Linked DNA regions of Diceros bicornis minor. The protein of the gene in region 3 purifies or fractionates together with the protein of the main gene of each other region. This does not show direct contact. Links are inferred from orthologs where the notes say so. Each region holds a gene or a part of one and is shown on either strand. Other genes may lie near its edges. The genes, in order: TONSL, TLK1, ASF1B and HAT1.

Region 1 (7,779 bases), on a different chromosome or scaffold from region 3:
CTCATGGGGCTGCGAGGATTAGAAGAACTAACAAATAACTTGAGCAGTGCCTGGCTGACGGCAAAGGGGGGGGCACTGGCGAATGACACTCATTAGTCCTCCCGGCTGCGGGCGCCACCCACTCTCTCAGCCATTAGGCAGGGACGACTTCTATCTCCAGCTTGCCAATGAAGACACTGACTCATACCTAAACACCCAGCCAATCTCCTTACCACTCTCAGTGCCCCTCCAACAGGCTATGCTTTGGCTCAGAGAAGTGGGGGTCTCCTCCCAACAGGAAATGGGGGGCCAGGAAGATGTCCCATACTGATGCTGCCACCTCCCCAAGGACATGTGCCTGGGCCTCCTCTGCCGAGGGAGGGGAGCCCTCTCTACCCCTTCCCAGGGTGGTTCAGCTCCTTGGGACCCCTTCCAGGCTCACCATACTTGAGGGTCCTGCAGATCATCGCCTTCTGCAAAGGCTTCTGGGAGCCCAGCCTGTAGGCCTTTTTCAGGGTTCTTTTAGCAGCCAAAAAATCCCCCAGGTCTTGGAGGACCTGGGGGGGTGAGGAAAGGTGAGGCTTGCAGACTCCCCAAGGCCCAAGGCCTCCCCGGGGCTGAGCCCAGAGCCACTGAGAACTGGCACCTGTGAGATGAGCAGGCAGCACTCGCTCTCCATGAACCCCTTCTTCATGATGTGTGCGCACTCCCGGGCCCCCTCCAGGCAGCGCATGGCCTGGGAGTGCTGCCCTCTGCGCCAGTGGATGGCGCCCAGGTTGTAGCGGGCGCGGAACAGGTCCTCATAGAGGTGGTTCTGCCTGCGGGTGGTGACAGGCGCTCAGAGTGCCTGGGGCATTCCCACTTTGGGATGGCAGAGTGGCACCCGAGGCACTGACGAGCAGCTGCTGATGCCACTCGGGATTCCAGCCCTGTCACGCCAGGCCTGCTGCCCCCCCCAGCATGCAGCACACACATGCCAGGGCTCCTCTGCTAATGGGAAACGGACGGGGCGGGGGTGAGGTCCAGCCAGCCTGCCCTTTCAGTTGCCCATTCCCCAGCTACTTCCACCAGGAACAGGGACTCAGCTCCCTCTTGGGACCGAGTGGGGGGCCTTACTCAGCGAGAAAGATGCTCTTCTTGAAGTAGTCATTGCACAGGGTCATCTGCTGCAGGCTCTCGAAGGTGAGGCCCAGGTTGAGGTAGAGTCGGGTCCTCATCTCGCTCAGTTCTCGCTTGGCCAATGTCCCTGAAAGACGCACCCTCCAGATACTCAGTGCCTCATCCCCACTTGGAGTCTCCAGCTTTGGGCCCTGTCCAAGGCCCGTCCAGCCTCTCCCCCACCCCTCCTCCCACCTCTCACTGTAGGTGCCAAGGGTCCTGCTGCAGAGTGTGGAAAAACAAAAAGCAGACAATCACCAGATGCCACGTTGCAATGAGCACAGGCCATGCATCCCCTCATAGCAGGGCTTCTAAGGACAGATCTCCGTCTCACAAAGGGAGGGCTCAGGCAGGTGGAACCTGCCACGCAGGCAGGGTTGGCAGGGAGGCTGCAACCTCCTCTGCCTGCAGTTTTGGGGGCAGATGGTGGGGAAGGCCATGCCCCTGAGGGCACTCACCCTGCAGTTTGTCGTCCACGATAGCCAAGCTTTTCTCAAAGGCAGTCTGTGCCTGCAGCAAGGCATCCTGTGTCTGGTGGTGGTCATAGATGTCCAGGTGGGTGCGGCCAATGGTAGCCCAGGCCCTCTGCAGCTCAATATGGTTGGACAGGGAATGGGCTAGCTCCAGGTAGCGGTGCTGGTGCTAGGGTGCAGAGGAATGGCTGCTGTGAGCCAAACCCCACTTCAAGCAAACCTTCCATGTCCCCCAACTCCAGGGCGTCCCTACTCTTGCCCAGGAGAGCCCCCTGCTCCTCAAACCACCCCCCAGAGCAGGCCAAAGCCAAACTACGCACACCCCATCTCCTCTATGCCAAGGGCTGCCTGTGGGGACAGTAGCTCCACACTCCAGCCAGCTAGTGTCATCATAGAGGAGGGACAATGAGTAGGAGTTAGCTGGGCTGCTGCAGGGCAGGCTCTGTGTGGACAGTGTGTCCCGACCCCCCCAGCCGGCCCACAAACGCAGCTCAAATAATACATTTGGTAATGGTTTCTGGGGCCAGGCTCCTAGAAGAGGCTGTGTGTGTCCACTTAAGGACTGACCTACCATTCCCTGGCACAAGGCTCTCTGAAAGTGAGGTTGCGTTGCAGGGTGTCCCCATGTGGCCAGAGGCCCGGACAGTGGACACTGTGCCTCCCTTCTCAGAAAGAGACCCCCACAAAGTGCGGCCCACAAAAGCGGGGTGTGGCCAGAGTGGGTGCTGGCGGGGCACCGCCCACCTGCAGGGCAGCAGAGTAGTCCTCCATCTCCGCCAGCCGCTCTCCGATCTTGCGGTGCGCCACGGCGCAGCCCAGGGGGTCGTCGGCGCTCTCCAGGAGCTGCAACTCCTGCTGATGTTCCCGCAGGGCCTCCGCGTAGCGGCCTGGGCGGGCGGGCGGGCAGGGCAGTCTGCCACGGGCCGCGAGGGCAAGCGGGGCGGCGGCCGGCCCTGGGCGGCGCGCTCAGCAAGGCTCCCAGTCCCCTGTCCCTTCCGGCCCCCTTCCGGCCCCACAACCCCCACGGCCCTCCCGGCTGCCCCCCTCACTCTCCCGGCCCCCCAGCCCCGGGCCCCACCCCGGGCCCGGCGCGGAGCACGCACCATGGCTGGCCAGGAGCTCCCCCAGCTGGTGGCAGAGGGCGGCCTCCTCCCGTAGCTGCCCGCTCCTCTGGGCCTTGGCCTTGGCCTTGCTCAGCTCTGCAGAGAGAGGAACGAGGCCGAGAGGCTGAGCCCCTCTACCTAGGGGGCCAGGCCCGCTCCCGGCCCCCGCGCTGGGCCGGGGAACTCACGGCGAAGCTCGCGGTCCAGGCTCATACTCCATCCGCCGCACACGGGGATCCAGACTTCCCGCGCTCCCGCGCCACCACTGCGGCTCCGCTCCAGGCCCCGCCCCCAGTGCCCGCGCGCAGGCCCAGTCTCGCCCCCGCGGGCCGCGGAGCATCCCGGGAAGTGTAGTCCAGCCGCCCGAAGCATCCTGGGAGCTGTAGTTTGGCTGGTGCCCGCCTCCCCGGACTCCCGGGGCGGCCCAGGGAGCTGAACCGCCCCCCACCCCGGCCCCTCAGCCGCCCTGGGGGAGGTCTCCTGGGCTCTAGCCCCGTGCTGCTGCTGACACCCCCTCCCCTCAAGAAACCTACCTGCACGTGCGACTTTACCTGCGGAACGCGCTGCCCTCGTGTAAGAGGAGGCGGCACCAGCTGCCCCCTCCCACAGAACCGCGGAACCCGCGAGTCCGGCAGCCGGCACCTCTGGGACTCGAGGCCGGTGCTGCTGGCGGAGGGGCCGGATCCAGGCCCGGGGTCCCGTAGCGCAAACCGCTCACCTGCGGTGCCTGGCGGACGCCGCGCACCCGGGCCCCACGTAAGGGCCGCGCACAGCACGCCCCGCCAGGCCTGGGAGCCACGCACTGGCCGCGTTCAAAGGCCCCAGAGGAGGCTGGAAGCCCTGGGAGATGGACTCATTTGTTTTCTGTGGAAATAGAAACAGACCAGTGGGGTAAACTCAGCCAGTGGATGCACAGCCAAGCTGTTGGGGAGGGAGTGACGTGGGGGCGGATGGGTCCATGGGTCCAGGGAAGGCTGCCCAGGGCCAGTGCCCGGCCGCAGGGGTCGGGGCAAGACCGAACCCGAGGAGCTGCAGGAGGTGGGAAGTTGGACCCGGGTGGCCGTCCTCTTCTCTTGGAGGGTGAGGTGCTCTGCCTGGCCCCTAGTCAGGGGTGTGGGGCGCAGGACGCAGGACAGGGAGGCCCTGAAGCCAAGGCGGCTGCTTGGCGGTAAGTTGTGCGGGGCACAGCGAGGGGCGACGGTGGAGGCGGGGTGGGGGAGCAAGGCCAGGGATGCAGAGACTGGCTCAGCTGAACGGCGGAGGGAGCCTCCCCAGCTGACCTGGCTCGCCCTCCAGCGCCCGCATTCACAGGACAGCCCAGGTCCTGGGGGCCCTATTCCCCTTGAGAGCACCCAACTTCTGTATGCCTCAGTTTCGCCACTGATCAGACAGGGATGTGTATATGAGGTGATGCTGAGCAGGGGCTGGAGGGTGGGGAGGCCACAGGCTGGGGGCCAGCGGGGGCAGCAGCTGACCCCTGGCTGGGCAGCTAGCAGAACCCAGGAAAGCCCATCCATGAGGCTGTCTTCTCATAAGGAAACACAGACAAAACATGGTTTGGAACTTTTTTTAAACTGTAGTTACACACAGAAAATATCCAAAGAGAACGCAGACCACAAAAGTGACGTGTGAGTCATTTCTGACAGTGGTAAAAACACCTCTCGCTCCGCTCTTTAAAAAATTATTTTTATTATTTTTGTAAATGTCTCATTTTGGGTGATCTGAGATGTAATGCTCACAGGGGAATGGGGGTGAGGAAGGAGGAGAGGGGACCCGGCTTGGCTTGTGCCCCAAGCCTCCCCCCACATCTGCTGAGGGTGCACCCCCACCTCCTCCAGGTCAGGATGCCAAGATGGCATGGGGTCCTGGAGACAGACCACTGGTGTCTTCTCCTTTCTAACAACACTGATGGGACATCCCCCAGTGAATCAGTGACCTGCAGTGAGATGCCGCAGAGAGGTTTGTGGCACCAGCCCCCAGTTGCGGCCGAGACGCACTACAATCTCCCAGGGTGCCTGGCTCCACCAGGCTGCAAGGCTCAGCTGCTGAGGTGACGGTTACAGGGCAGGGCTGTGCTGGGATGGCGATGCTGGGATGTATTAGCAGTCCTCTCAGGCACCCCCACACACCCACACTCCTAGAGGGAGGGCCTCGCCTGGTTGCCACCCAGCTCCAACACACACCCTTGGGCTGCCGGAAGTACTGACCCTGGTGCCCCAGAGCCCAGCCCCTCGTGCCCCCTACCCCACACATGCAAGGCTGCTAGCCCCAGGACTGAGGAGGCAGAGCCGAGGGGCCTCAGCCAGCCCTGGTTTCTCCCTTCTTGTGGCGCCCTGCCCAACCCGCTTTGGGAACCACATAGCTTCATCTACACACAGAAATCTGCTGCCTCCCACCCTGCCCCATCCCAGGAGAGCCGCCAGGGGCCCACCCTTCTGCTGACTCAATCCCTCACACAGGTACCCAAACGCACACAGACTGGGCACCAGCCCCGCCGCGGCTCCCCTCACAACACGGTCACTTTGAAATTAAGAAACTCTACAGAGAAGGTGTTGATCCCCGAGAGACACCAAGATGCAGTGACATGTGCCATCCTCTACACACGAGACCTGATAACGTGTGTACCTGAATGTCATCCTCTGTGCCCATGAGCTGGGGGCAGCCCTGAGGGCAGTGGGACTCACGCCACACTGTCTCTAGGTCAGAGATCGCTGCCCCCAAGGATGTGCTGGGGGCTGGGGTGGAGTCTTCCTCTGTAGAGAACAGAAAACTAAGCATAGCGCTTCCTGGTCCCCTCAGTGGCCAGGCAGAGTCAGCCTTGCAGAAGGGAATACCCCGCGAGCCCCATGCCCTGGGCTGGAAACAGAAAGCCAAATAGGCTTCTCAGAAGAACCTGGGGAGCCGCCCTGGGGGAGAACTGACTCGGAGGGCCGCCTTGGCCACTAGGAACTAGGGTGAGGCTCCTGTTCTATCCTACAGCTCCTTCCCCTCATTTCTCAGCCCCTGACTTGAGGGCCAAAAGGAGCCCCCAGAGACAGGCCAGGCCCGCAGCTCTCTTCTTGCTGCCAGGGCTGCCCTACCTGCTGAGCCTGCAGGGCCCAGGCACTGGAGAGGCCAGGCTGGCAGTGGGCAGGTGGTGGGGGCTGCTGCTCTGAGGCATGGGGTGGGCCTGGACAGGGGCAAAGGAAACGGTTCTTTGGTATTGAAGCAATGAAAAGCTATTGCAGAAGAGTCACGTCTCCTAAGTAAGGGGAGTGGTGGCTAAGCTCTCCCCTTCCCAGAAGTTCCAAGGGTCCTGGGCTCCTCCAGGCAAGGCTCCTTCCCACACTGTGAGGCCCACACACCAGGCCTGCTCACTGCAGTCCTGGGGCTGGGGCTGCAAAGTCAAGGCTGGGAAGAGCCCACCTCCTTCAGGTGAGAAACCAGGCTGCCCAAGCACTGACCTCTGGAGCAGACCTCAGGACACAGGGCCAGCAGCCGGTCCCTGAGAACAGCAAAGGGTGGCCGGCCCACCTGGACCCTCACCCAGCCAGGCTCATTCACCACCAGCGGCCCCCAGAGCTTCCCTCACAGCCTGAGGACGCTGTGCTCTCCAGGCTCAATACAGAACATCCATTCTCTCTTGCTAAATGTGTATACCTTACAGAAGAGCCTGTAAAGAGTTTAATTTTTTTCCTGGGAAGAGACAGAATTTCACCCTGCATTCCGAAACATCTGCTGAGCCCTGGTGGCCAAGTCCTGCCTCCCTGGAGTGGCTGGGGGGGCGGTGCGCTGGGGCTGCTGCGAGACCCCTGACCCTTACCGCCCCCCAGACCTGGCCTGGGACGGAGGGGGCAGCATCTCCGAGTCTCTGCTGGGGGCGCATGGAGGTGCAGTAACAGGGATGGGTAGGCTCTGACCCACAGGCCAAACCAAAGCTCCCACGCTGTCCACTCACAGCCGCGCCTTCCCCTCCAACAAGACAGAAAATAGCAAACAAGGTGCCTTTTTAATTGCAATCAAATATGCCGTCTGAAGTCAGCTCGCCTGAGCCCGGCCCAGAGCGGGCAGTGCACCTCGCTGCGCTGGGGCTCCCTGAGCCGCCGTCTCCTCTGCAAGTGGCCCAGTCTTGGTGCCAGGAGAGGGGAGGCGGGGCAGAGGGCCGGGCGGAGGGCGAGGCAGAGTGCTCACACCATCGCACACACATGCAGACTTTCCCAACGTTCACTTCTGTTCCTTCCTCCTTCACTAAAATGGTCAGAGAGCACAGTGAAGCCATTGCCGGGTGGGTGTGGGCAGCACGGCACGCCGCCTACTTCTGTATCTGGAACAGGAAGAGCCGCAGGTTGATATTCTTGGCGGCCAGCAGCTTGTTGCACTCCACGGAGTCGACGATGGGCAGCGGCACATAGTCCGTCTCGTTGCTCTCGTTGGTGAAGACGAAGTGATAGATGACGGGGCTGATCTTCACGTCGTCGTAAGGGCCCTTGAGCAGCAGGAAGGAGCACTCCAAGGGTGCCGTGACCTTGCTCTTGAGGAGGAGCTGGAAGGAGAGTGTGCGCTTGCAGGACAGGTTGGGGTTGCGCTCCGAGTCGTTCACGCGCGCCTTCAGGACCCATGTCTGGTTCAGCACCGTGAACCGCGGCGTCTCGTAGTACAGGCGCGTGATGAAGTCATCGGTGCGGTACGGCCGGAACTGGACCTCTGTGGAGACAGACAGGCCGGGAAGAGCCGGCAGTCAGCGTGGGCAGGGCCAGGTGGCGGCGCCTTCCCGACCGGCCGGCCGAGGACACAGGCTCAGCCAGGGAGGAAGGCAACTTACCAGGACACAGCGTGCTCTACTTGTCACAACGCAAATCAAACGCAATTATGGCAAATGGAGGCGCACACAAGCTTTGGGGAAACAACTATAAACAGAAGTAACACGCGTTAGCTGTGGGGAGCCCAGAGGCTGCGGGAAGTGAGCAGCCAGCCCCAACCCCCACTGGCCTCCCTCCTCACCCTCCCCCAGGGCCCATTCGGCAGAGGGAGAGGCCCCGCCCCAGGGGCGTGGGTAAGCAGACACACAGACAGGATGCAGTTCTGAG
Region 2 (6,950 bases), on a different chromosome or scaffold from region 3:
GTCACCAGAAGCCAAAAGCTCTCTCAATTTACATCAATTTATACAATATACTAACGTGCACACCTGGAAATGATGCTCAAGACTTGATAAAATAAACAGAAATAGAAACATCTCAATAGAAAACATCTCCATTTTGATACCTGGGACTTCATATATACAATTTCTGCTGGCATTAGTGAAATCTAAGACTATAGCTTCAAGATGAATACATAACCCCAGAGAGGATTAACACAGTTTTAACTTACATGCTGAGTGGTCAAAAAGAAATATACCATTATGGCCATTCAGGTAGTTGGTGTGAAGCACAACTTGCACAAAAGCATGCCTTGTTATTTCATTAATTAATGGAGACTCACCAGAGTCTAGGTTACATAAAAATCTATTTCTAATCTAAACTGCTGGAAAAAATTCTGGTTATTTGAAAGTACAAGATAAATTATACCAACCCCACAAAATTTTCAAATATCAGGAAAAGTACAGAATAGCAGAGAAGTTTTTTAACTAGAGTTGAAGTAACCTCAGAACTCTCAACCTAGATTTTGCAGGTCCAAAATTACTAATATTGATAATATATGTTACTGATGAACGATTCAACACTATGTCCTAAGTATTTAGTACAGCGCCTGGCTCACAGAAATGGCTCAATAAATATTTGAGAAATGAATGAAAAAAAGGTCCTGACAGAACAAAAAAAAAAAAAGAAAAGAAGACAGTCTTTCCCAAGACCATCATTTACCACCATTCATAACACTATCATTAAGCATATTAACGAAATTACAGACAAAAGTAAAAGCACGATAAAAACACCAATTGCTCTATTTACAAAAATAGATTTTAGAATATTTACAAATTTTCAAGTGCAAAAAGAAAAATCACCAAATGTACTAAATTTGAGTTAGTCAATAAATAAACTTTTATTTTCTAATAATCCGAACTCAGTGTTGGGGGCGACAAGGAAAGGGGAAAATGTCTGTCAATGTATTCAGCATGTTTAATGGATGCCATAAATCAAACCTTTCCATGAATTTTCTAGAGCAAATTCATGCCAATCTTTGAGCCTATTGTCACTTTCACACATGCTCACAGGAACAAAATGACAAAGAATGCTATGCCTGAACCACTGGATTCAGGGCACAAAACACTTGATTAACAATTGTCAAGGCTCTGAGTAGTAAATATTGACAGATATTTTCAAAATAATTAATCCTACCAATTCCTACATAAGTCAAAGCTTTTGATTACAGGATTCACTAGACTATTCACTATTCACTAGACTTCCAAGCGTTTTTTTGAAAATGTGGCTACAATCTCCTTGCGTGACACAACTAGGGGTGAACAACCCATTTACCAATTGCTGATGAATACTGCTAAACGTTTTCCAGACAAGAGTGTTAAATGCAATTCCACGCACATTTATTCTTCCCCCATAAATGCGTGTTCTCTCAAATTTCATTTTATGTCATATACTTAAAGTTAAATACAGCAAGTTGAAATTTTAGTCAAAAGCACTCCGGTGTCTCACTGGCTGTGTAACTGCTACATCTGGTGGCAGCACACTGGCATGCAAGAAGCCGGAAAACTTAGAAAACAATTGTAACCGATCTGGTGCGTGTTTGCAGTAAGCTTTACGCAGATATTTCCCACAAAACCCACGGCCCTGTCAGAGAAGAACAGTAGCCTACTTGCCGTAGAGAGAGAACGCACAAACACGCAGGAGGTGATGGCGAAGGAGAGAAAGTTGCAACCATCTGGAGGGGTGGTTTAAAAAGCCAGCCCACGAGTCAGTCTGTCGCTTAAATTGCTCTAGGGGGCCAGGCAGGGGATAAAGGTCGGCTCTGATCATTTGAGCGGCGCTCCCCAATGGGCAGGGACCTTGCAAGCGAGGGGCATCCTCCAGGTCCCGGGCAGCAGAGCTTGCAGAGCGGGGACCGCCTCTATGGGAGGAGTGCGCGAGGGAAGGGGAGGGGGCTCGAGGATGAATGCTTCAACGGGAGGGAAAACCCACCAGAGACCAGAGGCTAGGAGGTTAAGAGTACCGAGTGTACTAGCAAATGGAGCAGAAAGGGGCTCGCGTCCCGGGGGAGGCTTCCCACCCTAGCAGAACTGGCTCTTAGGTATCCAGGCGAGTCTGTGTGCCGCGCCTCGCCCCGTCCCCTCCAGCGCGCACCCCCTCGTCCGTCACCTCCGCCACCCGCGAACCGCCACCCACAGCCAGCGCACTACCTCCCCGGAGCCCGGCGGCCTCGCGTCCACCTCGCCACCATCCCCCACCCCGGGGTCGGGGAGAGAAGACCCGCGAGGAGCGGGGGTCGCGGCGCGGGAGGAGAGGCCCGCGAGCGGGCGCGGGCGCGACGGCGCTTACCTTCCCTGGGCCTCCCGGATGGCGGCGTGTGATTCAGCAGGGACCTGGCCGCCGCCGCCGAGCCCGGGGTTGGAGACGTGGAGAGCTGGGACCAAGATGGCGGCCCCTCCAAACTTCCACTGCTACTTTGGACACTCATCAAGCTACTTTCTGAGAACACGACTCCCCCCCTGCGACGGCAGCAGCGGCAACGGCACCGGCACCCGCCTCCGTCATGGCGGGGGCCGCGCTGAGGGCGAGCGAGAGAGCGAGGGCTGGGAGGGAAGAGTCAAGGGGATGGGGGAGGAAACCGAGAAGGGGGGAGGTGGGGAGGGAAGAGGTGAGGGGAGGAGAGGGGACGGGGAGGAGGAAAAGGGGGAGAAGCGAGGGAGCAGGCGGGCGCGCCGGGGAAGAGGCGGAAGGAAAGAGCGCGGCGGCGGAGGCGTCGAGGGGGCGCCCGCCGGGGTCGGAGCGCGGGCGGAGCGCGGGCTGCGCCGGCCGAGGAGACTTCCGCGGGCGGAACCTGCCGGCACCTCTGCAGTGCGTCGGCCCCCGGCGTCGCCCGGGTGGCGGCGGCGGGCGGTGGGTGGCGGCTGAGGCGGCGGGGTAACCTCTGCATCAGTTACAGGCGGCGACGGCGTCACGCGCCGCCTGTGCAAACACTATCGCGAGGCTCCTGCGCCTCCGGTAGCGGCGGCGGCGGCCGCGGGAGCAGGCATGGGGGAGGGACCTGCCAGGGGTTGGGGGCGGGGGGGGGGGGTGGGGAGGGAGCGAGCGCGCGAGGGAGGTGACGCGGCCGCCGGCGCCCCTGGCGCACCCGGGGATCGCAGCGCGGCGCGGGAGCCCCGGGCCGGTGGACTGGCATGCGCGGGGGCGGCCTCCCCGCGCCGGCCGGAGGGAGGCGCGCCCCGCACGGACCCCCGCCGCGGCGCTCCGGCTCCCGTTCCCGCTCCGCTGCCACCTGACCCCCTCTCCCGCGGAAGCGCGCTTGGCTCCCGACCCACACCCAGCCTGAGGAGAAATGCCTCTGCTCTCGCTGGGCTGTCGTTTCTCAGGAGTTCGATGTGATCGTTTCTCAAAATGGAACTGAAAAGTTGAGAGTGGTTTTTTTCTTACTCCTCTGTGCTGTGCAAAAAAACCTGTGTGCGTCTCCCTGTCTGCGGAATGGGAGTGATTACCGAATAAAAGCTAAGAAAATAAGTTGGGGGCGGGAGGTGGAAATAAAACTTTATGAATGTTTTCTAAAAAGAGAGAATCTTTACCGGTGTTGTGCACTGTATTAGCAGTTCTTTGTTTTAAAACAGTAAGTGGAAAATCTAAATAGAAAAATTTGATTACTGGATTCATATATTTAGGAAAACTAGTAAAAGAGGATATGGTTTCTAGAAAGTTCCAATTTGTTTCCAGTGCTGCTGCTGAGTCCTGACTACAAAATCCCAAAGCAAATTACAGCAGTTGCTTAAGTTAATAGATACAATGTAGCTTTCTACACACCCACACACGTACAGACATACCAGGGATTGGACATCTTGTACATAAAAGAGCAGTCTAATAGTTTAGGAAAAATACAAGGTTATTACTCTCCTTAAAAAACCAAATTGAATAGAACACTGAAAAGATTATGATATACAGCAACTGTACAAGCATGAGGAAATGGCATGATTACCAGGGGGACAAAAATGTCATTTCTATTTTTTATTTTTATGACTTTGCATTTCTCATAGTAATGTTTTGTTCAGATAAACTATCATACTAGAATAGAGCCTTCGTTGTCGTTTATCTCCAGAAGTAATTTTAGTTTTCCTATGCTTCAGGTTCTTCAGTGAGTTTTTAGTCATGATCTGCTTTTCAAAGTTGAGGTAGATCTCACAAATTATATACAACTCTATTGAAGTATAATTGACACAAACTGCACATATTTAAAATGTACAACTTGAGTTTTGGCATGTATACAACCCTGAAACCATTTGTACAATCAAGATAATATATCCATCAGCCTCCAACGTTTCCTCTATCCCTTTGAGGTTCCTCTTCCACTCCACTCCCATCCCCAAGTAACCACAGATCTGCTTTCTGTCACTTAAATTAGTTTGCATTTTCCAGAATTTTAGATAAATGGAATCATACCATTTGTACTCTTGTCTGGCTTCTTTTACTCAATATAATTATTTTGAGATTCATCTACATTTTTGCATTTATCAATAGTTCATTTCTTTTTATTGCTAGGTATTTATTCCATTGTATGAATATACCACACTCTTTAACCATTCACCTGTTGATGGAAATTTGTATCATTTACACTTTGTGGCTATTATGACTAATGCCACTATCAACATTCATGTACAAGTCTTTGTGTGGACATGTGCTTTCCTTTCTCTTGGCTATGTGGGGAGAGAGGGAGAATCCCCCTCTGCCCTTTCCCTTAAGGTTCTTATGGCTGGCCAAATAATCAACAAGACAGGTTAGCAGGAGAAAATAATACCAAGTTTAACAACATGTATACATGGGAGAAACTCAGAAATGAGCAACTCGTCCCTCTGTCTAAGCTGCTTGCTTAAGTATTATAGCTAAAGGCAAGGAAGGTGTGGGGGGTGGGGAGTTGTCTGGGACTTCAGAGGGCAAGAAGACAATTCTTTTCAGGGTCATCTATAGATAATGTGGTCAGGGAGAGAGAGAGTTTTTTGATAAAAGGGGCTTGGTGCCCCTCCCATTGTAACATCTATTTTACATTATCATTACAGCCATCATGATAGAAGATCTGTTCCAGGAAGGAGCCACCTTGTCAAATTCTTTAGGCAGTTAGTGGGGGAGGTGAAATGTCCCTCAGAGAAAACAATCAAGGTAAAGAGATATATTTCAGGGTGGCCAAATCTTGATCTCCCACAGATACATACCTAGGTCCTTACCATTAGATTTTTATACCAAAGTACATGCACTCTAAGGGGAAACAGTTCCTATTACAACATGTAGATAAACGTATGCCTTTTCTGTATTTTAAGAGAAAGCTTAGTCAGTTGACTGTGGTGAAAAGAGCATAAGACAGGAAGGAAGTCAAGAAACCTGGGTATTAGTCTCAGCAGGTAACAATCCTTCTTGATTCAATTTCCTCATCTATGAAAAAGAAGTTCGAGTCACCAGGTGATTTCTAAAGCCCCTACCAATTCCCAGACTTTATACAGAGCTTAGCTCCTCTCAAGAGTAGTAAACAAAACTCAACCAAAGAGATCTGATGGTCGGTTATGTTCTGGTTATCTTCCTCCCAACTGTCTCCAGAGCTTCAGGTTACCTTTATTCCAACCCGGGTTACATTTTATGCAGACTGACTCCTTTCATTTTAAATGGTAACCAAAGGATCACAGCATATACATAATCCAATTACTTTAGATAAATTTTTGGTATAAGTGCTTCCTAGGAAGGACAATTAAATGATTGATTCCTGCTTTCTTCTAGCTTACGATAAAGATAGTCAACACTGACTTACTTATAAAGAGGCTACTGCCAGCAAGAGGGAGCTAATTAAATAAACCGTGGCATAGCCTGAAAATGGAATGTCATGTCATTTAAAATCATGTCTTCAAAGAATACTGAAAAAGATGATAAAATTTTCACACTGTAATAAGTGAAAATAAGTGTGTATGATCCTGATTTGTAAGTATGCATAATAAATGACTGCAAGGATGCACCCTAAAAAGTTAACGGCTAGCCTTGGGTTGTGAAATTACATAATTATTCTTTCCTCCATTACACCTTTCAAATTTTGTACAATAAATCATGTATTTCTTAAGAAATTTAAGCATAAAAAGGGCCTGCACACAAATTGTGTAAATGCATAATTTTATAAAATGATTATGATAAATGAAAACTTTTAAATGGTAAGTAGAGGCTCCTCCACACCTTGCACATCGGCTAGTACACAGGAATTCAAAAAACGTTTGGTAGAGAGATAGATGGGGCTAGAGTGATAGCTTGCACAATAGGAAAAGATACAGAAAAGTCAAGAAAGTCCAGATTCAGACAGAAGGGAACACCTGCCACTCTATGGGAGAGAAGAAATCTCAAGAAAAGATAATTAGGAGGGAGTTTTTGGCAAGCTTCCTTGGGGAAATATTCCCAGAGGGAAAGCCAGCAGGAAAACACAGAAGTGAACTGAGCAAGTAAAAGCAGAATGTAGTAAACCTGCCTAGAAAGAATTGGGAAGAGACTGGGGAGAATGTTCTTTCTGTGAATTGAGTGCTCCATGAGTACAGACTCAAGCCCCTAGTACAGTGCCTGGCACTGACCAAGGGCTCTGTCATTGTGGAATGAATGAATGATAAGGATCAATGAGCTGGGATACAGATGAGGGAACAACGCAGGAGAAGAGGGCTTCAAGGGTCTCCTGACAGAAGGTCATATACAAAAGGGGAGATATGAGCCCTGATCTATAGGCTGATCATAATTTACAACTATGTTTATTAGACTCTTTTCAATTTATATACCATAGAAAAAATATTTACAAAGCATCCAATATTATAGGTATAATAAATGCATTTTATACCTCAACATTTGATTCCTTCTCAATTTGAGAAAATAATTAATGCCTAAGCCCCTTTCCCCCAAACCAACCAGA
Region 3 (7,737 bases):
GCTCCACTGTGTATGAGAAGACAGCCCAAAAGACCTGACTAAAGGCGTGCAGAAACCTCCTGCAGTGGAACTCGCTGGAGAGGCTGTTCCCTGCCTTTTTTTTTTTTTTTAAAAACTTACCTAGTAGACTTTTTTCTGTTTGTCACTTTGCCTTTGATCATGATCGTAGAGATGAACCTTGGCCTGAGCACAGTGTGTCAGCTGTGGGTCAGAGCATGTGGCTCCGGGACTTAGTCAAGCAGTAACTGTTGAATTCCCCAAGGAGACAGGGGAAAAGCTCACCTACTGTATCATATGTGGACCCACGCCCTGGATGCATCCATTTCCAGTTGTTGAGGAGAAAGAGAGGAGAAGGGGCGTGGAGCCCTTGGGAACCATGTCAGCTGACTGAGGGGGGCTGGGCGCCTTGTCAGATTGTCAATTGCTAGCATCCTGATAAGGAGACTGATTGAGATGTCTCCAGGACCTGAGACTTCCATGGCCCAGGCCCCCTCCATCTGGGGGACAGGAAACAGATTCTCTCTGCTCCGTGGCCAGGAAGAGGCAGAACGCAAGTGGGCAGGTCAGAGGCATGGACAGCCCTACAGGTAGGACCGAAGAGTCCAGATTTCCAGGCCAGGGTTTGCTTTCCAACTTGAGTTTCTTTGAGCAAAAGCTTTATCGTCCGGGTGTAATTACTAATAGCACCCCCTGGGGCCGGCCTGGAGCTGGCATAGCAGTTAAGTTCAAGCATTCCGCTTCAGGGTTCGCCTGTTCAGATCCTGAGTGCGGACCTACTCACCGCTCATCAAGCCATGCTGAGGCGGCGTCCCACATAGAAGAGCTACAACTCTACAACTAGGATACACAACTATGTACTGAGGCTTTGGAGAGAAAAGAGAAAAAGAGGAAGATTGGCAACAGATGTTAGCGCAGGACCAATCTTCCTCAAAAAAAAAAAAAAAGTAAAATAAATAATAGCATCCCCATCACTCTTGAGAGTCCTGAGGCAGAAATAAATTCCACGGTCAGTTATATTCATGCTGCACTTCTAAAATAGGGGATGCATTTTCTTTCCCAGGTTATAGCAAAGATCAAAGACCCTGGACCCAGAACTCAGAGACACACTCTTGTATCAATACTGCCACAGACTGCCTGTGTGACCTTGGAGAAATCATCCCATCTCTCTCTCTTAAAAAATAACGACCAGCAGGCCGACTTTGGCCTTTCCTGCTGTGATTCTATACACAGATTGGTAAAGGAACAGGGCAGGGGCTTCCCAGGAACAAAAGTACTAGATAATAACCATGCAACCATTTTTAAATGCAAGGAGCACAAGAGGCTGATTGAAACCCGATCTCCTGCCATCTGGAAACTGCCATTCCCTTAACCTATTAGCTCCTTACATCTCCTGGCTTTAAAATTAAATTTTATTCCACAGCGTCATTCTACACTTTATTTATTTATTTACACCCTGCCTTGTTCCAGAAAGGATTTAACTGGGCTTATTCTATAGTTGGTCACAACTCCTTAATTTAAACAGGAGAAAAACCCGGGAGAGACTGACCACTTGGCCCAGCCGAAGCGCAAAATGCATCTCAAACTGAATCAACCCCAAGCTAATCCAAGTGGGCAGCTTTGCAGGCAAATCACCCACCTGCCATTGAGAAGCGCTAGTTAGCACACCCTGGCCTCGCTGGTCGCCCCCTCCTCAGCTGCTGCCTCTCCTCGTTTAACCACCAACTGAAGAAGTGGTCTAAGGGAGTACTTGCTCCCTGGGTGACCTCAGATTTTCAGATTTTGATAGACCTTTACTGGAAAAGTCTTTCACTCTGTGGCTCCCGTCTTCTCATCTGTGAGATGAGAAGCAAGCATTATGTCAAGCAGATGAATAAGTACATCCGTGAAACCACCTTTGAAAAAACGCACAAAAGGCTGTGGCCTTCCAGCTGACTGTTTGAAGCCAGACACCATCATGGCTCAGCCCTCGCCCCAGACTAGGTCAGACCATCAAAAGCATTGTAAGAATTGCAGCGGCAGTGAGGGGAACCTGGCGGGCAAACAGCAGGAAGCAGCCAGTGCTTGGCAGGCTGTAGCACCCCTCAGATCTGAGTGAGTCCACGGAAGCCCACAGTCAGAGAGGAGGGAGGAGCAGGAGCTCCTGGGGAGACAGGCTACCCTCCAAGACTGGAGCTGGAAGCCGGGCCATGCCTCCCCAGCTGGGGCTCAAGAGGAGGGGTGAGGCCAGGCTAAGGGGGCGGGAAGCCAGGTTCCAGGGTGTGTGATTTTGGGGCAGGACACGAGCAGGAGTGGGTGGGGGCGGGGTTGTTTAGATATCAGCAGGTTGGGGAGGGGTTATTGGGAGACAGATGGGGAGATGGGGATGAGTGAGGTCTTGACATGCGAGAGAGGGGTCTCACGGGGGAAAAGGGGAGGGAGCTTGGGGGAGAGGTCTCCACAAGGAAAATGAGGGCGGGGGCTGGGGTCTGCAGAGAGAAAACGGGGGCTGGGGTTTCCATAGGGAAAGTAGGAGAGGACTGGAGATTGGGGTCTCCATAGGAGACAAGTGAGGTGGGAGTGTCTCATCACAGCGCAGAGGCGATGGGTGGGGAAGACTGGGTGGCCGGAATGGGGGTTCGGCCATACAGGAACGGGGTGGGGGTGGGGGGATGAGGTCTGCACGAGAGGAAACGGGAGTAACGGCGGGGAGGGGGCGGGTTGGGGGGAATCCCCCGGGGAGGTTGGGGCTGGCGCGGGGGTGAGCGGGAGGTGGGGGTTGGCCGGGGGAGGGGGTCCCCACACAGGCCCAGCCTCACCGTCCGCCAGGGCCTCACTGCACTCGAAGCTGATCTCGAACCGGAAGGGGCTGTGGAAGGGGCTCGGGTTCTCCAGCACCGCCACGTTCAGCACCGACACCTTGGCCATCGCCTCGCCGGGCCGCGGCTGAGGCCTGGCTGGGGCCGAGCCCGCGTCCGGGTCCCGGCGGGTCGGCAGCGCGGCGTCTACACAGAGCTCTCTCGCCGCCTCTCTCCGCCGACTGAAGTGCGTCTCCGTCCGCGCGCCTCCTTCAAACAGCCGGCCCCGCCCTCCGGCCAATCACCGTCAACGCTCCCCGGCGGCGCGAGCGCCCCCTCAGCCAATCCTGGGGCGCCAGTCGGCACGCGCCGAGACGCCGCGGGCCAATCCGCGGAGCTCCCTCTCCGGGGTGCGCGAGGGAGGCGGGACCGTCTCGCGGCTTCTGGGTGTCCGCCGGGAACCAATCCCCAGCGTCTCCAACTCGGGTATCAAGGGCGGGGATGGGCGCAGTCAGAGCGCGGGGCTCCTCTCGGCCAATCCTGAGGGTTCTCGCACGAGCGTGGGCCGCGCTTCGCCCCGCCCTTCCGGGTGGGTCGTCCCGCGGGGAGCAGAGCCATCAACTGTCGAGCGGGGGCGCGCGGCGCTCGCTTAAGAGGGCGGGAAGGGCGGTGCTCGCGCCCGCGGTGATTGGCAGGCGGCGGTGGGGCGGGGATAAACCCGGTCTCTGAGAAGTGATTGGCTGAGCTGGCCGAGGGGGCGGGAGGAGCAGAACACTCGGCTGGGGATTGGAGGGAGAGGAGCGGAAGTCGGCCGCCGGCGCGGTTGAGCGGGTGTGAGGAGAGGAGGAGCGTTGGCGGCCTCGGTGGCTGTCCGCCCCTGAGCGTTCTGGGAGCTTCTCTGAGGGGCCCCTGGGTCGTGGATGTTTGCCTCAGCCTGAGGGGCGACGGCACGGCCGTGAGGCGGCGCGCTCGGGCCCGCGCCCCGGGAGTCGCCGGTGCGAGTCCCGCTCTCGCCCCTCGAGGGCCATTCGGAGGTCTGAGGTGGACCGCGCCGTGGACGGAGCTTCGAGTCCCGCCTCGGCTCCCGCGGCCGCGGCCACGCGGCCCGCCCTTGACCGGGGCCGTGGAGACTCCCTGACAGGATACGTCTGGAAGCTTCTCCGCGCCCCCACGCCGGGGCCGGACCCTCGGCGTCCCCCGCCAGCAGCGGAAAAGTAACGCCTGATGTCACGTTGTCCTAGTAACCACGGTGGAAAAAAAAGTAAAAAAAGGAGAAGTCAAAGTCAGTGTGTCTGGCTCTGGCTCTCGTAGAACTGAGAGATGAAGATGTGGACGCGCGGCCGCGCTGTTCCCGCGAGCTCGGCCGCGCACTGGCGTTTAATTGAAACGTGGATGAAAATGCAGCGACGTGGAAGGTTCCAGATCACGGTGGCACTGGCCACGTCCGGTGCTCGTGAGCCGCTGTGGCAGGCGGCACCGTGTGACTGGACAGCAGGTCCCAGCCACCAGCATTTGTGGTCGGGCCACCCGTGTGGCTGCGGAGAGGCCTGAGGTCCCGTGATGCTGCGCGTGTTGTTTTGTATCAGCATCTCATGTTCAAAAAGTTTGGTCAAAAAAATTGAAAGTTTTTTTTCCCCTTCGAAACGATTTGGCTGCAAGAAAATTCACATTTCTGACTGGCTGTGATTTCTTGGCCGTCGTGCGGCATGCTTGGGAACTTTTGTGAGGAGAAAATCGAATTTTCGAATTGTTTCTCAGTGTAATTCGGTTGTTTATGAATGCTGGATTTAATGGTGATTGAAGTCGCCAGGACGTTAGGTTTTCTAGACATTCAGTTAAACACCTATGCATTCTCGTTTTCTTCCTTTTTTTTGCTGAGGAGGTTAGCTGGCCGTGAGCTAACCTCTGTGCCCGTCCTCCTCTGTTTTGTGTGTGGGCGCCCCAGCATGGCCTGATGAGCGGTGTGTAGGTCCTCGCCTGGCCGACCCTGCGGACCCCAGGCTGCGAAGCGGGGAGTGACCTTAACCCCACGCCAGGCGGCCGGCCCTGACTTTGTAGTTTTCTTTTTGCATTGTGGAAGTTTTTTCTTCTGTCCCCGGCCCCTGCCTTTTTATAGCCCTTGAGAAGCTCGTCAGCCACCAGCGCTATGTGTGAGCTGCTGATGAAGAAAAGGGCCCGTCTGTAATGCCTTCTCCACACCGGCTGAATAATTTTCAGTTGCAGACCAGATCACGTCATTACCCTGCTGAAACCTTCGAAGGCTTATCAGACTTGGAATGAAACCTGAGGTCTTGACTGTGGCTTCGGAGGCCCTGCACCATGTCCTCAACTGACCCCTCGGGCCTCATCTGCTGGTCTCGCTCTTGTCACAGCTCTCCTGCGCTGCTGGCATTACTTCTCATCTTTCAACACACCGATCTCACTCCCACTGCAAGGCTTTGCACTTGCTGTTCCCTGTGCCTGGAATGTGCTTCCTTCAGATTATTGCAGGGCTGTCTCATTCTCGTCCTTTATGGTTCAACTTCAATGTCTCTCAAAGAAGCCTTCCCGGGCCACCCCGGGTAAAGTAGCCCCTCCTTAATCACATCACTCCGCTTTGTTATCTTAGTCACACGTATCAGGATCTGCACTTGTGTGGGTTTTAAATTGTGCTTATTCTCTCATCATCCCTCAGGAGACTGAAAGCTGGTTGAGGGCAGAGAGCTCACCTGGCTCACATTGACCTCTCGATGTGTTTCCAGAGCTTAGCACAGGGCCTCGCACGTAGGAAGTCTTCAGGAGATTTTTAAATTTTATTTATTGATTTTTATTGAGGAAGACTGGCCCTGGGCTAACATGCGTGCCCATCTTCCTCTATTTTATGTGGGACGCAGCCACAGCATGGCCTGACAAGTGGTGCGTCGGTGCACGCCCGGGATCTGAACCTGCGAACCGTGGGCCACAGAAGCAGAGCACGTGCTCTTAACCACTACAACACTGGGCTGGCCCCAGGAGATTTTTTAAAAGAATAAATCCATATAAAGGGCTTAGCATAGTGCCTGGAATGTGAAAGCACTCCATAAAGGAGCTGTTAGTAGAGCAGTTAGTAGTGCATTGTAAGAAGGAGAGAAGTCTTCATTCTTATGTAATATTTCAGGTGCACATGTTGGAAGAACTGTAAGAAATGCTATAACAACACAGGTGTTTACTGCTTACCCAGCTTAAGAAGTGAAACGTTAGCAATGCAATTGAAAGGCCTGCTATACCCCTGCCTCAAATCCATTCCTCTCCCCTTTCCCTCAAGTGTAACTACAATCCTGTGTTTGGTGTTTAGTTTTCTGTGCGTGTTTGTACATCTTTATGTGCATGTGTCTTTAAAACAATATATAGTATTGTATGTCACATCCTACAATTTTAAATAAACGATATTTGCGCAAAAAAAGAGTCACCATAGTAGGCCTGAGACTGCTATCCTTAGAAAGGCCTTGCAAGGTGGGCCCTTGGCTGGCGTGTAGGAACCTGGATTTCAGGCAGGTTCCCACCATTTCCTGAATGATACGAGTGGCTCCCGGTGCCTCAACTGTACAGATGATGTGGTTGGTGTTGAGCACCTGCTCTCCTTCTGGAGTCTGGAAGTTTGGTGCTTGACCAGCCCTCAGTAAATACCCTGGGCACTGAGTCTCTGATGAGCTTCCCTGGGAGACACTGTTTGACCAGTGTTGTCTCAGCTCAGCTGTAGAAACCGAGCACGTCCTCTGTTACTCTGCTGGGAGGGCACTCTTGGAGGCCTGTGCCCGGCTTCCCGTGGCTGCTTTCGCTTGTGTCCTTTCACTGTAAGAAATCACAGCTGTGTGTACAACTATCTGCCAAATCCTGTGAGTCCTTCTGGCGAATCGTTGAGGCTGGGGGTGATCTTGGGGACCCCTGACACAGTATCATACCAAATATATCCTGTCAGGGCTGGAACTATGGTGAGGCAGGCAAGGCACCTAAGGCACAAAATTGAAGGAGGCGCTCGCTCTCAGGGCCACACAAGTGCCCAGCCTGCATGACCCTGAGAGTGAGTGCCTCCTAAAATTTCCACTCTAGATGCCTTGCTTGCTGCCCTCTAGTCCCGGCCCTACCTCCGAAACCTGCTCTTTGCATCCAACATACTCCTTTTGAGATGTATCTCTGTTGCCACACGGGGGTAGCTCAGATGCATTTCTGTTCCCTGCTGTATTGCTGTGCTGTCCGATGTGGTAGGATGAGCCACATGTGACTGTTAAAATTCCACTTAGTCAAAATTTACTAAACTGGACAATTCAATTCCCTGGTCACACTCAGCCGCACTGCACTATTTTATAGGCACCCGTGGCTAGTGGCACTGCATTAGACAGCCGGGATCGAGAACACTTCTGCCACCACAGGACGTTTGTTGGACAGCATTTACGTTATCTGTTCACCTCTTGCTTGACGTTCAGGTTGTTTCCAGTTTTCTCCTCTCAGACAGTGCCGCAGTATTCATCGTGGTATGTGTCGCCTTGTGCACACAGGCAGGAGTTTCCCTGGCGTACACGCCAAGGGCTTGCATGGCTGGGTTATGGCAGTGTTCACCTTGATTAGATATTGCCAGTTTGCCCTTAAAATGATCATCCCACTTCTCACTCCCACCAGCAGTGTTGCTGTTGCTCAGTGTCCTTGTCAACATTTCAACTTGTCCGACCTTCACATTTTTGTCTTGTGGTGGGTGTGAGTTAGTGGTTTCGGTTTGTATTATCCTGATTACTAGTGAGGCTGAGCTATTTTCGTTTGTTCATTGACCATTTTGCCTTTCTCCTGTGAATTGTCTGTTCATATCTTTGCCCATTTTCCTGCTGGATTGTCTTCATCTTATCTGGCACAGAAGTTCTCACATCTGAGGCTTGCATTTTCATGTATATGGTGTCTTTTGATGCTCAGAATTTATTATTATTATTATTTGAATGTCGTCAGAATGATCAAT
Region 4 (7,956 bases), on a different chromosome or scaffold from region 3:
TTATAAGCAAAAAAATAAAGGTAAATATTTTTAAGAGGCTAAGACCACTTATACCTGCCATTTTTTGCCACACTGTACTTCCTATATGTAACCTCTGCCATCTCTCAAACATCTACCCACTCTATGACATAAATCAAGACTGAATAAAATCTGAATGTGTTCAATATATGTTGAAAACTACATATGTACATAAACAACAGCTTTTACGTAAAATTCTACTTCTAATTTAAAAAGAAAGATTATACACACACACACACACACACAGTACCTACATAACCCCACTTAGAAATGGCATACATACCTAATTTTAGTTCAATTGCTGTGTTGGTGTTACATTTGTACTCGGCCAGTTTCTTCTCCACTGCACTCTTGTATTCAACCAAAAATTTCTCCATAGCACCAAATCCTAAGAGAAAAGGTTGTTAAAAGGTCTGGTTGGAGGTGATTTAAATAGTCAAACCTACAAATAAGGTTCTTATTAGAAGTGGAATAAAGGTAAGATTTAAAACATGCTAATAGGGCCGGCCCCGTGGCTTAGCGGTTAAGTGTGCGCCCTCCACTACTGGTGGCCTGGGTTTGGATCTCAGGCGCGCACCGACGTACCACTTCTCTGGCCATGCCGAGGTGGCATCCCACATACAGCAACTGGAAGGGTATGCAACTATGACATACAACTATCTACTGGGGCTTTGGGGGGAAAAAAAAAAGGAGGAGGATTGGCAATAGATGTTAGCACAGAGCCGGTCTTCCTCAGCAAAAAAAAAAAAGAGGAGGATTAGCATGGATGTTAGCTCAGGGCTGATCTTCCTCATAAAAAAATGAAATAAAATAAAACATGCTAATAGATCATAAAAGTACAGGTCATTCTCCATACACTCCTAAATAAATGTACTGAGTATGACTGCCTCATTATAAAACAGAAAAAAATCACTTTTAAGATAGAGGCTTATGAACTAGGCATGCTTTACATAAACAAGTAAACCTGAAAATTAACACAACAGACTACTGACATTTCTGAATATTTAATTCTAATGTAAATTACCTGCTAGGATTTATAACTAAGTAGCTTTTTCAAAAGAAATAGAAAAAGGATGCCAGTGCTCCACTAAGAAACAAAGTGAGAATGTCCTTTTATAATTACAGTAGCATTTCATTTCTAATACTGGAAAAATTCTACCCAAAGTATTTGCAGATCAACTATTAAAAAACCATCAACTGATGATGCATAGATCATCTCAGGAAGGATACACAAGAAACTGGTAACCATGGTTACCTCTAGGATAAGAGAGAAGGAATGTGGACAAGATTAGGAAAGAAAATTTCACTGTATTAAAAAAATTTTTTGACCATATGTGCATAAGTCTTAAACTATGGGCTACTGGAATACCCAAATGGTTTTACTACAACCTGGCTACCCATCAATATATATAATCATTAATGGAAGAAATCATTATCAAGAGAAACTTTGAAGCAAAGATGACAATAAATCTCCTGACAAAATGAACGTAAATTAGTAAAAATTCAGGAAAAAGAGTCATAAGCAGAAACAAAAGAGGTACAATGACATGCCATAAACTTCAATAAGTGGTTAAAACACACATATACAGAAAATGGGGAACACTTAAGGCAATATACATTTATGGTTTGGAATCAGAATTCCTGGATTCAAATCCAGGCTTCACCATTTACTTACTAGATCTGTGAACTAGAGCACATTACTTGACTTCTCTGACCCTAATTTATAAAAACTGAGATAAGAGAACCCACCTCAAAGAATTTATGTATAACCTCAGCAACAAAATTTAACTTTTGAAATCATACATTAGCTTAATCTCCACAATTCTATAAGAAAAGTAGATACTATATTAGCCACATTCCATATGTAAAAGCTCGGGCTTAGAAAGAGTTGCTTAACAGCACCCAACTACTAAGTGGTGGAGCTGAAATTCGAATTTAGGTGTAATTCTTATAATATGTACATCCTATACAATATATAATATGCTCCCCTCACTTTTATAGTACCAGTGTACCCCAAGATCCTACAGTCTCTATCTGGTAGAACAGATAAACATCTGTAGAGCTCATGCTAGCCTGTCCATCCAGCATATCCATAAAAGTGAGACTACTACGAAGGCACTGGGAAAAGATAAAAAATTGAAACTGTCCATCACTTCAAAAGATATGTTATTGGCAAAAAAGCATATACTCACACCAAAACGGTCTTAACAGACGTACAAAATAACAGCAATTATTAGTTAATTAAATGTTGTAAACTGAAGAGACTCAATAAGAGAAGAGAGCAGAATAGAATGAACACAAGCGAATTACATCATAGTAGACACACTCTAAAAGAGAAGTTTAGACGAAAGAAGAACGCGAAAACAACTTCTTTCTCAAAGGAAATCTAAATAGATCCTAGGAATACTAAAGTGCGGGAGATTAAGGAGACGATTACGAAGTCAGTCCAGATTCAAGTGAGAGCCCTAGTGCAGGGCAAGGCAGCAATGCGCTGGTCAGAAGTTGACCGCAGGGGAAGGTGGAGGGAGACCTGGAGGAGGAGGAGGATCCGAGCATTAAAATCGGCTGGCGGGAAAAGGACCAGACTAGCGTAGCTGCGGCAGCAGTGGACAAAACGAAAGAGAAGAGAAACAGGCCTCAAGGCATCCGCACCTTACAAGCCCCCATCGCGACGCTTCCCCGGCCTCTTCGGCCCTCCGCAGGGGCCGAGTTCTTCGCGGCAGGCGCAGAACCCCGAGCGGTTGGGGGCGGGGGCACGAACCTCGGCCGACAAGGAGTAGGGCTGAGAGTTCCGCACTTCCAGACTGACACAGGCCTTCTGGAACCCAGGTTAGAGCCCGAAAGTTCCGAGGGGGCACTGTCACCACCGTCACAGCGTTCTTTCACAAACCTGCCCGCCCCCTCCCCTTGCTAAACTTTTCCCGGGAACTTACCCGCCATTTCCGAGCTGCCAGCACCCGCGGCTGAGGAAGGACGAATCAACCCGCGCGCTCCCTGGCCGGAAGTGAGCGCACTGTCTGACGCATTTCCCCCGCCCACTGCCGGCAAGTCGCTGGCCAATGAGAGGAGGAGGTTTGAGGCGCGGGGTGGCGGAAGCACCTCAAGAGGCGGGGCTCACACCGCTGGGAACGCTCAGACCGTAGCCGCGGCAAGTGCCGTCAGCACCTTTGCAGGCCTAAACTTGGGGGAGAGGCCGAAAAAGAGGCTTTTAATGTTGCGACTCCCGCTGGCCCGACCAGTTTCTTTCGGGTTGATTTGAGTGAGATAGAGATCTTACGGCTGTTTTCTTTCCCCCCTAGCGATGTTTTGGAGACTGGTAGGAAAATTTTCTCCTTGGCCTGGGCAGTGGAATGTCCAAACACCTGAGCCCTAGCTTTACGTAGGGAGAATGTAGGGATTGAGTTGCAGTTGCGTAAGAAATTTTCACTTATTTTATGTCTGTTTTTGCCGTATATACTTGTTTAACATTGTCTTTCTTTTCGCTCATGTGTTTTAGTGGTATATAGTGTGATATTTAGGTCCTCTGCTTGCACTCAAGGTTATTAGGCAACCATTTAGTACACCGAAATTTTTACCTAATAATACCTCAAGTGGCCTGATCTGGTGCTACATGTCTCAAGTCTTAGTGGCTGAACCACATCACAGGATGCTACCTAATTTAAGCCATAGTCCTGGTTAGTATTTAGTAATTGTTGAAACTGTTTGTCCCAGAGGATAAGCCACTATTTAGGTATCCACAAATATTCCCATAATGTTGTCTGTACGCTAGAATGCCTTGTCTCAACAAATGTTGGTTAATAGGTTTTACAATGATGATGCTAAAGCTAAAATGGACCCTTGGGATGATAGTCTAGAACTGATAACACCCCTCATATTAGAGATGAGAAAACTAAAGCCCAGAAAAGAGAAATTGCCCAAGTTCACACTCAGTATACAGCCTGTGCAAGAGTCCAGCTTTCCAGACGCTCAGCCCAGTATTTGTTCAGTTGCGTAGAGATGGCCCTCCCGAAGATAAAGATCAGAAAAGATACCGAGAATGCTCAGATCCTTTTTCTTTAAGCCTTAATGAAACACTAGACATTACTATCATAATGTTAAGAAAACTGAAGTCAATGCTACTAATGACATGGATTCAAAAAGAAAACCAATCTTTTTTTTTTATAAATAATTTTTTCAGAATGGCAAGACTCATCATCTCTTTTCGAAAGCACTTTATCTGTAGGTCAATAGCTGACCAGCAATTATGATCCTTATAATAAGAAATCAATAGGAATTTGTCTTAACTGCAGGCAAATCTGAAACAGTGTAGTCCTGTGACTTTATGGTTAATTGTAGGGAAGAAATATGATGAAACCTATATATGATAAATATGAATATCAATATGAATAAGAAATATGATGAAACCTGTATATCATGTGACTAGCATTTAGTATGTAGCATACTAGTATTTAGCTTGTAGAATTGAGGTTACAGTTTTAAATTGTCCTTATCTCAGAGCTGTTCACATATATTAAAATGTCACAGAATTCATGTTTAGGTACAGTTTACCTAAAAGATAAAAGAATGACTTCTTTTAGAAAGGTGATAGTCAAATTACCAAAAAGGAAAAAGTATTTCTTTTTCTGGTAGGGCTTTTTCTCTCTTTTTTAGTTTATATTTTACCTTGTTCTAACAGAGTTTTAGGAAGTGAACATTACCACCATGAAATAAAATTTCTACGAAAGGACTATGCTGTGCTGATATATATGGAAGAGGCAGCATAGAGATATGGAAAATTCTGAGACTAGCCCTACTAGTCTCAGTTCTAGTACTTCATGATTGTATAACCTTGTTTAATGTGTTAAGGGGAGATAATAATACTTTCCCAGTCACCACATTGGGTTGTTGTGAAAATCAAATAGAACAATATTCATGAAAGAGGTTTGTAAACTCTGAAGTTCTGTGTTAATCTGGGGTGGTATTAGTATGATAACATTTATTCTAGGATAGGAGGTCTGGAAAAGGCATTTTTCTCCAGAGAAAAAGGCCATATTACACTATTAAGAATGAACCAGCAACCATATGTTTGGTACATGTTCAAGTGCATATAGATTAGTAAATTTTGCCATCTTGTTAAAACTTTCTGAATGGATTTTTTTAAAAACATGGTTTTAAAAAGATGGTCATTGGGGCTGGCCCAGTGGTGTAGTGGTTAAGTTTGCGTGCTCCGTTTTGGAGGCCCGGGGTTTGCAGGTTCAGATCCCGGGTGCGGGCCTACACACTGCTTATCAAGCCATGCTGTGGCATGCCTCCCACATATAAACTAGAGGAAGATGGGTGCGGGTGATAGCCCAGGGCCAATCTTCCTCAGCAAAAAGAGGAGGACTGGCAACGGATGTTAGCCCAAGGCCAGTCTTCCTCAGCAAAAAAAGATGGTCATCAGAAAATGGATGTAGGAAATCTGAGATCTAAAAGAAAAATGCAGGTACTTGATGTGTCTTTATTCAAAGTATATACCTCTCTGCAGACAAATAACAGTAGCTAGTTAACTCATTTGTTTAGCTCATAGTGCTAATGGTGAGGGTTGGGTGGGGTATGAGTTTCAGTTCCCAGAACAATTATCCAGAATCCCCTACCGAGCTAGATGACCTTTATATGAGATAAAAGACAGAAAATAAAAATAGACCAGCTCATATTGAAAATTACTGTTAGAGAAATAACTTAAAGACACACATTACCAACAGTTAGCACATTACATTTTTTAACTCTCATACACCACCCATAGCTGTAATAGCTGTACAAACTAGTACTTGTTAAGACACAATTTTAAAAACTTTAACAAAATTTTCAATTTGTATATCTTTTGAGGTAGTAGTTCCACTTATAAGCATTTGTCCTAGAAAACTATTTGCACAGGAATGCAAAGATATATGAACAGAGATGTTCAATGCAGCATTAATTTTACTTGCAAATAGGAGACAGCCTAAAGATTCATCAAAAGGGGCTGGCTAATATACTGACTTCAGAAAATATCTACTATATAATAGGTTAAAAAATAAATTACACAACATTATAATGTTATTTTATTTGTATAAAAAAGTGTATTTTGATATAAACATAGAAAACATCCGAAAGCATACCTAACAAGTTTAACTGTGGCTGCCGCTAGGAGGGGGAATTTGGAGATGGAGATTAATGAGGAATTTTTAAAAAATACTATTTTGCTTCTCCTGAGAATGTATTGGTTTCTTTCATAATTAGAAACTTATCAATCTTTTTGAAAGTTTTTAGACATGGTTGCTAACTCTTACCCTCTTCTTTACATTCTATAAATTGATACACAGAATCAAAGAGGAACAGCAATTGAAACAAGGAACAGTTAGTTGAAAATTAGCATTTCTAGTTTTACATTCTGCCATTATTTACAAGCAAAGATTTGTCAAAATGAGGGAAGAGCACTATAATTGCTTATACTTGTTCCCAAAATTACCATTCTGTGATGCCTCTTTTACTTTTTGAAACTATAATTTGTAAGAATGGCATTAATTATGTATGTCTACCTAGGGTGAGTAATACAATAATGCCTATGACATTTCACATTCCATAGTTAAAATTCTATTTCAAATATTAATTATTTTTTCCGTTTTAGCCAACAAAAAATGACCATTACTCTTCTATGTTAAATTTTTCTGCTCTTGTTTTGTGTTGTTTCTTAATATGGAAGAGCTTTAGGGTAGGGGGAGGGTGAAGAAAACTTTATCAAAGCTACTTAGATATTAAAGAAATAAGACAAAAGTGGTGAAAATTATAACTAGAAATACTCATTTTAAACTGATATATTGTTTCAGTCCTGTTTTTTTTGATTGTGGTAAAAAACATATAAAATTGACCATCTCAATTATATTTAAGCATACAGTTTAGTAATGTTAAGTATATTCCCATTGTTGTGAAAGCTGTCATTTTAATGGATTGGTTTTTAGCCAACTCCTTTGTAACCTATTTACCCATATCACTACGCACAGCAAGACTCTTAACTTCCTATGATCTGGACACACAAAGGGAGGAGCTTTTACATCAGCTATATAATACTGTTAGTTGTTTAGTTTATAAACTTGTTCCTTAAAAGAATTATAAAATAAAATAAAATTTAGCTTTATGGTAGTGTTTCTTCTAAATTTTTTTACAAATCAGAATTTTGAGGGAATATGTACAGTTGTCAACAAGCTAAACCAACCAGTCACTGTGCAAATTAGTAAAATTAAAAGAATTCTTTCTGAAAATTTTGCTAGAGGGAATCCACACTTTAAGTTTGTCATTAATCTCATCAACACAGGGCTCTCAGAGAATCCCTTTGCCAGTCTCTTGAATGAGCTAAGAAGAAGAAAGGGTCATGCCAACTGGTACCATATAATACAAAGAGAACCTGCTTGATCAGGTAAGAAGGGTGTATCGGTAGGGTTAGGATTCATCTAAAGAATAAAAGGTTTACTTTTTCATATCTTTGTAAATTTAACATTTTGTTGTTTATGAGGAGGTTTCTGTTACTATAGATATGGTGGTATTTTTTAATGTAGTTTAAGAGAAACTAAGGTAATTTGAATAATATAGAATCAGGAATTTTCGAGCAAAGTGATTTTAGAAATTAGATAATCTAGTCATTGTCATACTTTTTATTTGGTATATATATGCATACAAGCTTTTGTTCCTATTTTCTTATAAATATATATCTAATATATTTTTACTTCTGTTAATTCCTATATTAAATATTGCTATTGTTAACTTTTTATGTTACACAAAAAATTTGGCTAAAATTTTTAGACAGAAATTTTAATTTTAAAATATTAGGTTTTCTATCTTCTCAATCATCTATGCACCTCTGAAGATCCCTGACTTAATTCCACACTGTTACTTGAGGTTTCTCAGCAAGTAACTGATAGAGGTGATATTGTGGCCCAGGTC

What was found.
Region 1: the proteins of ASF1B (region 3) and TONSL purify together in Homo sapiens (affinity purification with mass spectrometry; 5 studies listed by BioGRID and IntAct, counting the BioPlex papers as one, with this or other methods). This does not show direct contact. The link is inferred for Diceros bicornis minor from reciprocal best matches to the Homo sapiens genes ASF1B and TONSL.
Region 2: the proteins of ASF1B (region 3) and TLK1 purify together in Homo sapiens (co-immunoprecipitation; 3 studies listed by BioGRID and IntAct, counting the BioPlex papers as one, with this or other methods). This does not show direct contact. The link is inferred for Diceros bicornis minor from reciprocal best matches to the Homo sapiens genes ASF1B and TLK1.
Region 4: the proteins of ASF1B (region 3) and HAT1 purify together in Homo sapiens (affinity purification with mass spectrometry; 6 studies listed by BioGRID and IntAct, counting the BioPlex papers as one, with this or other methods). This does not show direct contact. The link is inferred for Diceros bicornis minor from reciprocal best matches to the Homo sapiens genes ASF1B and HAT1.

The regions. Positions count from the first base shown.
Region 1 is NC_080760.1:57,048,164-57,055,942, forward strand, and holds the start of TONSL (tonsoku-like protein), read right to left. Parts: upstream 3,009-7,779; 5' UTR 2,927-3,008; coding exon 2,902-2,926; intron 2,810-2,901; coding exon 2,714-2,809; intron 2,498-2,713; coding exon 2,355-2,497; intron 1,780-2,354; coding exon 1,596-1,779; intron 1,226-1,595; coding exon 1,096-1,225; intron 798-1,095; coding exon 626-797; intron 537-625; coding exon 422-536; intron 1-421. UniProt on the Homo sapiens protein: Component of the MMS22L-TONSL complex, a complex that promotes homologous recombination-mediated repair of double-strand breaks (DSBs) at stalled or collapsed replication forks.
Region 2 is NC_080749.1:52,572,471-52,579,420, forward strand, and holds the start of TLK1 (serine/threonine-protein kinase tousled-like 1), read right to left. Parts: upstream 3,001-6,950; 5' UTR 2,502-3,000; coding exon 2,363-2,501; intron 1-2,362. UniProt on the Homo sapiens protein: Rapidly and transiently inhibited by phosphorylation following the generation of DNA double-stranded breaks during S-phase. This is cell cycle checkpoint and ATM-pathway dependent and appears to regulate processes involved in chromatin assembly.
Region 3 is NC_080769.1:3,613,016-3,620,752, reverse strand, and holds the start of ASF1B (histone chaperone ASF1B), read right to left. Parts: upstream 3,003-7,737; 5' UTR 2,905-3,002; coding exon 2,796-2,904; intron 1-2,795. UniProt on the Homo sapiens protein: Histone chaperone that facilitates histone deposition and histone exchange and removal during nucleosome assembly and disassembly. Cooperates with chromatin assembly factor 1 (CAF-1) to promote replication-dependent chromatin assembly.
Region 4 is NC_080749.1:53,179,780-53,187,735, reverse strand, and holds the start of HAT1 (histone acetyltransferase type B catalytic subunit), read right to left. Parts: upstream 3,009-7,956; 5' UTR 2,959-3,008; coding exon 2,952-2,958; intron 2,763-2,951; exon of another isoform or gene 2,671-2,762; intron 407-2,670; coding exon 302-406; intron 1-301. UniProt on the Homo sapiens protein: Histone acetyltransferase that plays a role in different biological processes including cell cycle progression, glucose metabolism, histone production or DNA damage repair. Coordinates histone production and acetylation via H4 promoter binding.